3 linked regions of the Callithrix jacchus genome follow. The protein of the gene in region 1 purifies or fractionates together with the protein of each later gene. This does not show direct contact. Links are inferred from orthologs where the notes say so. Each region holds a gene or a part of one and is shown in the gene's direction. Other genes may lie near its edges.

What was found.
Region 2: the proteins of SINHCAF (region 1) and TNRC18 purify together in Homo sapiens (affinity purification with mass spectrometry; 3 studies listed by BioGRID and IntAct, counting the BioPlex papers as one, with this or other methods). This does not show direct contact. The link is inferred for Callithrix jacchus from reciprocal best matches to the Homo sapiens genes SINHCAF and TNRC18.
Region 3: the proteins of SINHCAF (region 1) and ARID4B purify together in Homo sapiens (affinity purification with mass spectrometry; 3 studies listed by BioGRID and IntAct, counting the BioPlex papers as one, with this or other methods). This does not show direct contact. The link is inferred for Callithrix jacchus from reciprocal best matches to the Homo sapiens genes SINHCAF and ARID4B.

Annotation. Positions count from the first base shown.
Region 1 is NC_133510.1:40,189,350-40,192,999, forward strand, and holds part of SINHCAF (SIN3-HDAC complex-associated factor), read left to right. Parts: intron 1-1,982; coding exon 1,983-2,133; intron 2,134-3,650. UniProt on the Homo sapiens protein: Subunit of the Sin3 deacetylase complex (Sin3/HDAC), this subunit is important for the repression of genes encoding components of the TGF-beta signaling pathway.
Region 2 is NC_133503.1:17,199,707-17,203,356, forward strand, and holds part of TNRC18 (trinucleotide repeat-containing gene 18 protein), read left to right. Parts: intron 1-1,013; coding exon 1,014-1,178; intron 1,179-2,423; coding exon 2,424-3,650.
Region 3 is NC_133520.1:50,011,084-50,014,733, forward strand, and holds part of ARID4B (AT-rich interactive domain-containing protein 4B), read left to right. Parts: intron 1-1,008; coding exon 1,009-1,106; intron 1,107-2,720; coding exon 2,721-2,955; intron 2,956-3,286; coding exon 3,287-3,456; intron 3,457-3,650. UniProt on the Homo sapiens protein: Acts as a transcriptional repressor. May function in the assembly and/or enzymatic activity of the Sin3A corepressor complex or in mediating interactions between the complex and other regulatory complexes.

The DNA of each region.
Region 1 (3,650 bases):
ATTCCTTATTAAATCAGCATCTTGTTTTCCCTTTATAGGTACAAAGTCATTATGCTTTGGCTGCTTTCGAGATTTTTCTCTTGGTTTAGTTTTTAGAGGTTTAATTGTGATGTGTTTTAGCGTGGATTTCTTTGAGTTTATCCTGTTTGGGCTTTGGTCAGGTTTTTGAATCTTAAGTTTATGTCTCGCCAAATTTGACAAGTTTTCAGCCACTATATTTGAGTACTTTTTCACCTCTCTTCCTTTTTTCCTCTCCCTCCAGGACTGCAATGGCATGAATGATGTTTGTCTGATTAAGCTCCACAGGTTTCTCATGCTCTGTTCATTTGTTCTGTGTTGTTCGTATTGGGTAATTTCTATTCTTCTAGTTCACTGTTTTCTCTCTCCCCTCCATGTTGCTCAGCCCATCCACTGTGGTTTTTATTTTCTTTATTGTATTTTATTCAGTTATAAATTTTCCATTTATTTTTTCCTTATGGTTTGCTGTTTTATTTTTACTTAGGCTTCCTAGTTCTTTCTTTTTTTTTTCCTGAGACAGAGTCTTGCTCTGTCACCCAGGCTGGAGATATAGTGGCACGATCTCGGCTCACTGAAACCTCTGCCTCCTGGGTTCAATCGATTCTCCTGTCTCAGCCTCTTGAGTAGCTGGGATTATGGGCACGTGCCACCATCCCCAGCTAATTTTTGTACTTTTTTAGTAGTGATGGGATTTCACCATGTTGGCCAGGCTGGTCTCAAACTCCTGACCTCAGGTGATCCACCCACCTTGGCCTCCCAAAGTGCTGGGATTACAGGCATGAGCCCCTGTGCCCGGCTGAGGCTTCCTATTTCTTTGCCAAGGGTATGGTTTCATTTATTTCAGACATGTTCATAGTTGCTCACTGAAGCATTTTTGTCATGCCCGCTTTAAAATCTTGGTCAGATAATTCTGGTATCTTTGTCATCTTAGTGTTGGCCTTTTCATTTAATTTGAGATCTTCCTTATTATTTAACTTATGTGATTTTTTTATTGAAACCTGGACATTTTCAGATTATGTTGTGATTCTTTGAGTCTTATTTAAACCTTCTATTTTAACTGGCTTTTTTGACACCCCTCAGAACAGGGAAAGAGGGAGGGACACTACCACCCTGTTACCACCAGGTGTTAGAATTGGAGTTTCTCTCTCAACCTCCATTGACATATCTGAAGTTGGTGGGAGAGGGAGGCTCCTTGTTACTACTAGGTATCAGGAGAATTCAGTCTCCCACATGGTGAGGGTGGCCTTGTACTTAGTGGGCCATAAGGAAAGGCCTGACTTCACTAGGCTTCCTCTAGAGGAAGGTGTTGGGGTGCTTCATAAGTCTTGTGAGGGTGGAAATGTAGGCTCTTCACCTCAGCCTCTGCTGGGGTTAGGAAAGGTGCCCATAGTTTTTTCTGTGGGTTTGGCTGAAACAGAAAGGTTATTGTCTAGAAGCGTTTTCTGTCTGGCTAGGCTACCCTTTCCTAGTTCTTTGCTAGAGAGATCAGGCTTTAACTGGGGTTTTGTATTTTTATGTTGTTGTTGTTGTTGTAATTTTGGTTGTCTGTATCCATTGGCATTTCTGGGTGGCTGCTGCTTCACTGCCAAAGCTGGGGATTATGAGACAAAAGGAAAATCCGGAAAAACTAAGGAACCTACCACCATGGCTTACCTTGGGTCTTGAGCTCCCTAGGTGGTCATTAACTTTTGGAGCCTGAGGTTTATTTTATATAAAATATTCGGGGATTTTAGTTGTATAAGCAGGAGGAATAGGAAAAAGTATGTCTATTCCATCTTTTCACTTTGTTTTAAAAACACTTCAGTCTGAATATCTTCAAATACCAGTAGTGCATAGAAAATGAATTATTTTTTACTTTGTCTCTTTTTTTACCAACTCATTCACAGTGTCTTATGTTGAGGTTTGGATGCAATTACATATAGTGAAATTGAGAATTTTATTTTTTCTTTTAATCTTTATTGCAGATTCTGATGCTCACAGTACCACCTCAAGTGCCTCCCCAGCTCAATCTCCTTGTTACAGTAACCAGTCAGATGACGGCTCAGACACAGAGATGGCTTCTGGTTCTAACAGAACACCAGTTTTTTCCTTTTTAGATCTCACATACTGGAAAAGGTAAAAGAAACAGAAAACATCTCTCTAAAGCAAACCATCTTAATTATAGGCAGTATTTTTCTACTTCCTTAGCAATTAAATGGCATTTGGCAAACAGCTGGTAATACAGATGATTGCAGTGGATTAAGCAGGAATTGAGCAGAGAAGTGGGATTTTGTATGTTCTTCCTATTAAAATTATTAAAATAAAAATCACATCAAGGTACCTACTTTTTCTATTCTTAGATAAATGGAGTAGAAAGACAATATGCAGTGGAGAGAATCAGTAAAACTGAGAGTTGGTCCTTCAAAAAAAAAACATGACCAGAAAAGTACTAGAGATAAAGTGGATCAGGAAAAGGAAATGGTACACATAAGCAATTTTAAGAAAGAGAAAAGAAACTTAGATATAAATAAAGCAGAAATTTAAAAATAATAGGATATTATAGACAACTTTATGCCAATAAATTTGAACATACGGGCGAAGGGGGTATAGTACTAGAAAAAACACATCTTGCAAAGTTGTCTCAAGAAAAAGTGAAAAACTGAGATAATCTCATAATAAATTGATTTAGGCCAGTTGTGATTATACCTGTAATCCTAGCATTTTGGGAGGCCAAGGTGAGGGGGTTGCTTGAGCCTAGGAGGTTAGGGTTGCAGTAAGCTATTGTTGTACCACTGCACTCCAGCCTAGGTGACAAAGCAAGACTCTATCTTAAAAAAAAAAAAAAAAGAAAAAGGAAAGTTGATTGAGTGGTCAGAACTCTCTTCCCTTGAAGAAATACCAGGCCACAATAGGCAAGTTGTACTAAACGTCCAGGAACAGATGATTGGGGCCCATGCAGGGCCCATGCACTTGCTTTTTCAGAGTACAGGTAAAATAGGGCATAGGCCCCAGGCATTTTTAAGGCTGATATAAGTTTGATATCAAAACAATATATCATCAGCCACTAGTTTTATTCTAGGGATGTAAGATTGGTTTGAACATGAGAAGATCAACGAACATAATTTACCACATTGACAGTTTCTTTCTTTCTTGTTCTTTTTTTTTTTTTTTTTTTTTTTTGAGATGGAGTTTTGCTTTTGTTGCCCAAGCTGGAGTGCAATGGTGCTATCTTAGCTCACTGCAACCTTCACCTCCCTGGTTCAAGTGATTCTTCTGCCTCAGCCTCCTGAGTAGCTGGGATTACAGGCGTGTGCCACCATGCTTAGCTAAATTTTTGTATTTTTAGTAGAGACGGGGTTTCATTATGTTAGCCAGGCTGGTCTCGAACTCCTGACCTCAGGTATCCACCTGCCTTGGCCTCCCAAAGTGCTGGATTACAGGTGTGAGCCACCACGCCTAGCCCACACTGATAGTTTCTAAAGGAAGGTGTTGACATTTTAGTGGCACAGGGAAGGAGTTTGACAAATTTGAACATCCCTTTAATGTTTAAAACGAAACTTTCTTTTGAGACTAAGTCTCACTCTGTTGCCCAGGCTGGAGTGCAGTGGTGCGATCTTGGCTCACTGCAACGTTTGCCTCCTGTGTTCAAACAA
Region 2 (3,650 bases), on another chromosome or scaffold:
GCCTACCCTGGCTCTCGCCCTCCCAGCCCAGCTCTGGACTCTGTCTGAAGTCATTTGGAGTGACGGGATGGAAATGGCAGAAACCATGGGTGGGAACTCCCATGAGATCCCAGGGCTCCCAGTTCCTGAGTCCTGGGCGCATGAGGACAGCACAGGCCCATAGGCCCAGACCATGGGAAGCTGATCAAAAAATGTTATTGGCCGGGCGTGGTGGCTCACGCCTGGAGGCTGAGGTGGGTGGATCACCTGAGGTCAGGAGTTCAAGACCAGCCTGGCCAACATGGTGAACCCCTGTCTCTATGAAAAATAGAAAAATTAGCTGGGCATGGTGGTGCATGCCTGTAGTCCCAGCTGCTTGGGAGGCTGAGGTGGGGGGATCGCTTGAACCCAAGAGTTCAAAGCTGCAGTGAGCTGTGATCGCACCACCGTGCTCCAGCTTGGGTGACTGAAACTCAATCTCTAGAAAACAAACAGGCCAGGCATGGTGGCTCACACCTGTAATCCCAGCACTTTGAGAGGCCAGGGCGGGTGGATCACATGAGGTCGGGAGTTCAAGATCAGCCTGACTAACACGGAGAAACTTTACTAAATATATAAAATTAGCTGGGTGTGGTGGTGCACGCCTGTAATCCCAGCTACTCGGGAGGCTGAGGCAGGAGAATCGCTTGAACCCGGGAGGTGGAGGTTGCAGTGAGCTGAGATTGCACCATTGCACTCCAGCCTGGGCAACAAGAGCAAAACTCCATCTAAAAAAAAAAAGCATCTGTATCTGCCTATCCCAGTTCCACAAACTGTTTTATTTTACTTCATTCATTCGGGAGCCTCTGGCTACTTGCTATAGATGGGGCTTCCCCTGCTGGACCTCACAGCCTGTGGCGGGAGCCTGCCGGGGGTGAACCACCTGGCATCGGTTGCTTCCGACCCATCCCTGATCCCCGGGACTGGCTAGGGTCTTGGACGCTCCAAGCTGGGGAAGCCAGGCCTGATGAGCCACTCTCTCCTCTGTCCCGCAGGTGCTGAGCCGTCCCCGGCACTCCTGGTGCCGAGTGCCAAGCGCCGCAGCCGGAAGACCAGCAAAGACACCGGGGAGGGCAAAGACGGGGGTACAGCAGGGTCGGAGGAGCCAGGAGCGAAGGCCCGTGGGCGTGGGCGGAAACCTAGCGCCAAGGCCAAGGGTGGTACGTTGGCCTGGGCCCCAGGGCAGGGGTGGGGGCGGGGCTCCTTTGGGTATCCAAACTCAGGGCTTGGGGACCTGCCCAAGTGCCTGCCTGCTGTCTCTGTAAGAACTCTGGGCCGGGCATGGTGGCTCATGCCTGTAATCCCAGCACTTTGGGAGGCCAAGGTAGGTGGATCACCTGACGTCAGGAGTTCAAGACCAGTCTGGCCAACATGGGGAAACCCCGTGACTACTAAAAATACAAAAATTAGCCAGGTGTGGTGGCAGGTGCCTGTAGTCCCAGCCACATGGGAGGTGGAGGCGGAAGCGCTTAAACCCAGGAGGCAGAGGTTGCAGTAGGCCATCACGCCATTGTGCTCCAGCCTGGGCACCAAGAGAGAAAGTCTGTCTCCAAAAAATAAAAACCTCTGCACTGCGGGGCTGTTCTGACCAGGTGGCAAATGAGGAACTGAGGCTGAGGGAAGCAGGTTGATCTGTCAGAGGCAGAGCTGAGCTGCAGTGGCCTATGTTTCTTTCCAGAGTCCAGAGAAAATGCTTCATGCAAGCTGAAAGCAGAGGCTACTAGAGGACCCTCTTTGGGGCCAGTATAACTTAAGGTTGATATAGGGGAGCCGCCCAAGGAGGTCCAAGAGGGCCGCAGCCAGGTATAGGGGTTTCCCCATGTTGGCCAGACTGGTCTTGAACTCCTGACCTCAGGTGATCCACCTACCTTGGCGCCTCCCAAAGTGCCGGGATTACAGGCATGAGCCACCATGCCCGGCCCAGAGTTCTTACAGAGACAGCAGGCAGGCAGTCTTAAGAAGTAGCCCAGGATGGAAACCAGGCCTTTCTGCCAGGCGCGGTTTCAGCCAGGCCTTTCTGCCCACACCTATAATCTCAGCACTGTAGGAGGCCCAGGCACGGGGATCACTTGAGCCTAGGAGTTCAATACCAGCCTGGGCAACATAGCAAAACTATGTCTCTACAAAAAAAAAATGATAATACAAAAGTTAGCCAGGCATAGTGGCACATGCTTGTGACTTCAGGTTACTTTGGAGACTGAGGCAGGAGGATCACATCAGCCCAGGGAGGTTAAGGCTACAGTGAGCCATGATCATGCCACTGCACTCCAGCTTGGGTGACTGAGACACCATCTCAAGAAAAAAAAAGCATCCCATGAAAGCAGGCCTTTTCTGATGAAAGCCACAGCTCATCTGCGAGGAAGCCCCCACCCCAGCCTTTCATCTGTTTTCTTTTGTTTTTGCAGACAGAGCCGCTACCCTGGAGGAGGGGAGCACAGCAGATGAGGTCCCCAATACCCCCTTGGCCCTGGAGCCAAGCAGCACCCCAGGTTCCAAGAAGAGCCCCCCAGAGCCTGTGGACAAGCGAGCTAAGGCCCCCAAGGCGCGCCCGGCACCCCCGCAGTCCAGCCCTGCACCACCTGCCTTCACCAGCTGCCCAGCACCCGAGCCCTTTGGGGAGCTGCCAGCCCCTGCCACCGCCCTGGCCCCAGCACCTCTCATCACCATGCCTGCCACACGCCCCAAGCCCAAGAAGGCACGGGCAGCTGAGGAGTCAGGCATCAAGGGCCCTCGGAGGCCAGGGGAGGAGGCTGAGCTACTTGTCAAACTGGACCACGAGGGCGTCACGTCACCCAAAAGCAAGAAGGCTAAAGAGGCCCTGCTACTGCGGGAGGACCCAGGGGCTGGGGGCTGGCAGGAGCCCAAGAGCCTCCTGAGCCTAGGCAGCTACCCTCCAACAGCCAGCAGCAGCGAGTCCAAGGTGCCCTGGCCCAAGGCCGTGGATGGGGACCTCGCCCAGGACCCTGGGCCAGGGCTCACATTTGAGGACTCTGGGAACCCCAAGAGCCCGGACAAGGCCCAGGCTGAGCAGGATGGGGCCGAAGAATCGGAGAGCAGCAGCAGCAGCAGCAGTGGCAGCAGCAGCAGCAGCGGGTCCGAGACAGAAGGGGAGGAGGAAGGCGACAAGAACGGGGACGGGGGCTGCGGCGCTGGGGGCCGCAACTGCAGCGCTGCCAGCTCCAGGGCAGCCTCACCGGCCTCCTCCTCCTCCTCCTCCTCATCTTCCTCCTCCTCCTCCTCCTCCTCCTCTTCCTCCTCCTCTTCCTCTTCCTCGTCTTCTTCCTCATCTTCATCTTCCTCCTCTTCTTCGTCGTCGTCCTCCTCTTCCTCGTCCTCGTCCTCGTCCTCGTCCTCGTCCTCCTCCTCTTCCTCTTCCTCCACCACAGATGAGGACTCTTCCTGCAGCTCAGATGATGAGGCGGCCCCCGCCGCCACGGCTGGTCCCTCTGCACAGCCAGCGCTCCCCACCAAGGCCACCAAGCAGGCCAGCAAGGCACGGCCCTCAGCCCACTCTCCGGGCAAAAAGACACCCGCGCCCCAGCCCCAGGCGCCCCCGCCACAGCCCGCACAGCCTCTGCAGCCCAAGGCTCAGGCCGGGGCCAAGAGCCGACCCAAGAAGAGAGAGGGCGTCC
Region 3 (3,650 bases), on another chromosome or scaffold:
TACTAAAAATACAAAAAATTAGCTGGGCATGGTGGCGCTTGCCTGTAATCCCAGCTACTCGGGAGGCTGAGGCAGGAGAATTGTCTGAACCAAGGAGGTGGAGGTTGCAGTGAGCCGAGATCGCGCCATTGCACTCCAGCCTGGGTAACGAGTGAAACTCCGTCTCAAGAAAAAAAAAAAAAAAAAAAAAAAGAATATAAAGGCTATTATCCTTTAAGAATATAAAGGGATTAAGCCAGGAAATGTTTGTTGAACTGATCTGAAGAAATAAGATTGACAACGATATACAGTACATATCCAATTGAGAATGTTCTGTGGAATAAAATACAAATTTCTGTAGAACTGCTTTCATTTGTTAGATTATATATTTTATGAGAAATAATAAATCCTTTAAAAATGCTTGTCTTCATTTTTTTTTTTTTTTTTTTAATTAAGAGCCTGAATATTTTTTGTATTTTCTATAACTGGGTTTATTTAAAAGTCAAATGGGGCCAGTTATGCCTGTAATCTTAGCACTTTGGGAGACTGAGGTCAGAGGATTCCTGCAGCCCAGGAGTTTGAGACCTTCCTGGGCAGCATGGTGAGACTCCATCTCTACAAAAAAAAGGTTTTTAATTAGCCAGGTGAGTTGGTGTATGCCTACTGTCCCAGCTACTTGGGATGTTGATGCAGCAGGATCCCTTGAGCCCAAAAGTTAGGGGCTGCAGTGAGCTCTGTTTGTACCACTGTTGCTGCACTCTAGCCTAGGCAATAGAATGGAATCCAGTTCCCCTCCCCGCCAAAAAAGTCAAATGGCCTAATATTTCAATATTTGTAATTCTGTGATATTTGTCAGAGTACTAAAACCCTTACTTGTAAACCAAATTTAGAATTTATCAGGATTTAAAAAAAATTCTTTTGAGACTAGGACCAATAAATTAAAAAAATACTCATATATACTGTGTCTATCAAAATGTTATTATATTAACACCTTTTAATTTGGGAATTTTGTTTCACTTTGTCCATTAGATTGAAAGTGGAGCTGTTTGGAAACAAGTCTACCAAGACCTTGGAATCCCTGTCTTAAATTCAGCTGCAGGGTACAATGTTAAATGTGCTTATAAAAAGTAAGTTCGTGGAACTGATATGATTATCTTCAGTTTTTTTTAACCTAGAAAGCAGGAGGAAAGTTACTTTATAACTGAGGCTAATTAATTCTTCAAAGATATCAGAAAATTTTACTAGTCATTCTGTCATAGCATTTTCTAGAATATATTCTATGAATACTAGATATATGAGAAATTCTGTGAAGAAAGTTTTTATGGCTAAGTACATTTGTCAAGTACTGCACAGAGGTTAAAAAGCTAATATTCTAAAGTCAAGTAAATCTACATTTGAATCCTAGTTCTGCCAGTTAGCTGTTTATGCCCTTGGGCCAGTTATTTATTCTCCTAAGCCTGTTTCTTCATTTGTAAAATGGGATGCTTGGCTGAGCATGGTGGCTCACACCTGTAATTCTAGCACTTTGGGAGGTCTAGGCAGGAGTATAACTTGAGGTCAGGAGTTTGAGACCAGCCTGGCCAACATGGCAAAACCCTGTTTCCACTAATAATACAAAAATTAGCCAGGCATAGCGGCTCATGCCTGTAGTCCCAGCTACTCAGGAGACACTGGGGCAGGATAATTGCTTGAACTCAGGAGGCGGAGGTTGCAGTGTGCTGAGATCACACCACTGCACTTCAGCCTGGGCAACAGAGTAAGACTGTCTTTAAAAAAAGCGGGATGGCAAGGGGATGCTGCTGCTTGCCCCAGGATTACCATAATGACCAAATGAGATTTACTAAGGGGTCCAGCCTCACACATAAGAAATGTGCAACAAATAGATGTTATTGCTAATACTTTTTTTTTTTTTTTGAGATGGAGTTTCGCTCTTGTTACCCAGGCTGGAGTGCAATGGCATGATCTCGGCTCACTGCAATCTCCGCCTCCTGGGTTCAGGCAATTCTCCTGCCTCAGCCTCCTGAGTAGCTGGGATTATAGGCACGCGCCACCATGCCCAGCTAATTTTTTGTATTTTTAGTAGAGACGGGGTTTCACCATGTTGACCAGGATGGTCTCGATCTGTTGACCTCATGATCCACCTGCCTCGGCCTCCCAAAGTGCTGGGATTACAGGCTTGAGCCGCTGTGCCCGGCCTTGCTAATACTTTTAATATCGGTTATTGTTAAGAGTCTGAGCACAGTTTTTTAAATGATTTTTTTTTTACAAAATATTTTATTTGCATTGAAAAGATTAGAAAGAACTGGGATAGGCTGGGCGCGGTGGCTCAAGCCTGTAATCCCAGCACTTTGGGAGGCCGAGGCAGGTGAATCACAAGGTCAACAGATCGAGGCCAGCCTGGTCAACATGGTGAAACCCCGTGTCTACTAAAAATACGAAAAATTAGCTGGGCATAGTGGCGCGTGCCTGTAATCCCAGCTACTCAGGAGGCTGAGGCAGGAGAATTGCCTGAACCCAGGAGGCGGAGGTTGCGGTGAGCCGAGATTGCGCCATTGCACTCCAGCCTGGGTAACAAGAGCGAAACTCCATCTCAAAAAAAAGAAAGAACTGGAATAAATTAGAATGTTAATGTGGCTCAATATCTAAGAGTTTAGACAAAAGAAATGAATACACATTAAAAATAATTCTATAGTTATATTTTGAAATGTTTTCATCAAATGTAATTTCTCTTCATGTTCCAGATATTTATACGGTTTTGAGGAGTACTGTAGATCAGCTAACATTGCGTTTCAGATGGCATTGCCAGACAAAGTCGTTAACAAGCAGTGTAAGGAGTGTGAAAATGTAAAAGTGAAGGAAGAAAATGGAACAGAGACCGAAGACATAAAGACTGAGGAGGAGAGAAATACACTACCAAAAGAAGAAAAACCTACTGAGGATGAAATTGAAAGAAAGGAAAATATTAAGCCCTCTCTGGTAAATTAGATATTGTTAATTGCCCTTTGCCTTCTTTGGTATATTTTTTACATCCTCTATAAAGTTCTAAAATCAATATACTGTATAATATTATTCTTCATTGTTTGTTTATTTTCTTTATTAAGTGCCAATTTTATATAATTTTTATAACTTCAAAATTGCTGTTAGCTATTTTTGTCTAGTGCTTTAAAAATAGCAGAGGTTTCTTAAAAGTAGTTTACAACTTTCAATATTAACATTAGTTGATACCTCCTGTTGCTAAGAGAGAAATCATGGATGTAGGTTGAAAACTTTTACTTTTGTTGGTTTCTTTCCTCTGATCTTTTTCTAGGGAAGTAAAAAGAATTTATTAGAATCTACACATTCTGATCAGGAAAAAGAAGTTAACATTAAAAAACCAGAAGAAAATGAAAATGTGGACGACAAAGATGATGACACAACTAGGGTAGATGAATCCCTCAACATAAAGGTAGAAGCCGAGGAAGAAAAAGCAAAATCTGGGTAAGAAAATTGTTTTTGGTTAAGATGCATTTTGGCTTGTTGGCTTCTTATCATTTGTTCTTTGTATGTGTATGTGTATGAATCTGATTGACAAAATATTAAATAATAGAATGGCATTTATTAATTAAATACCATTAACTTCCTTCAGAGACCCTACTGATAAAAATTTGTAGAAAAAGATCATACTTTTGATC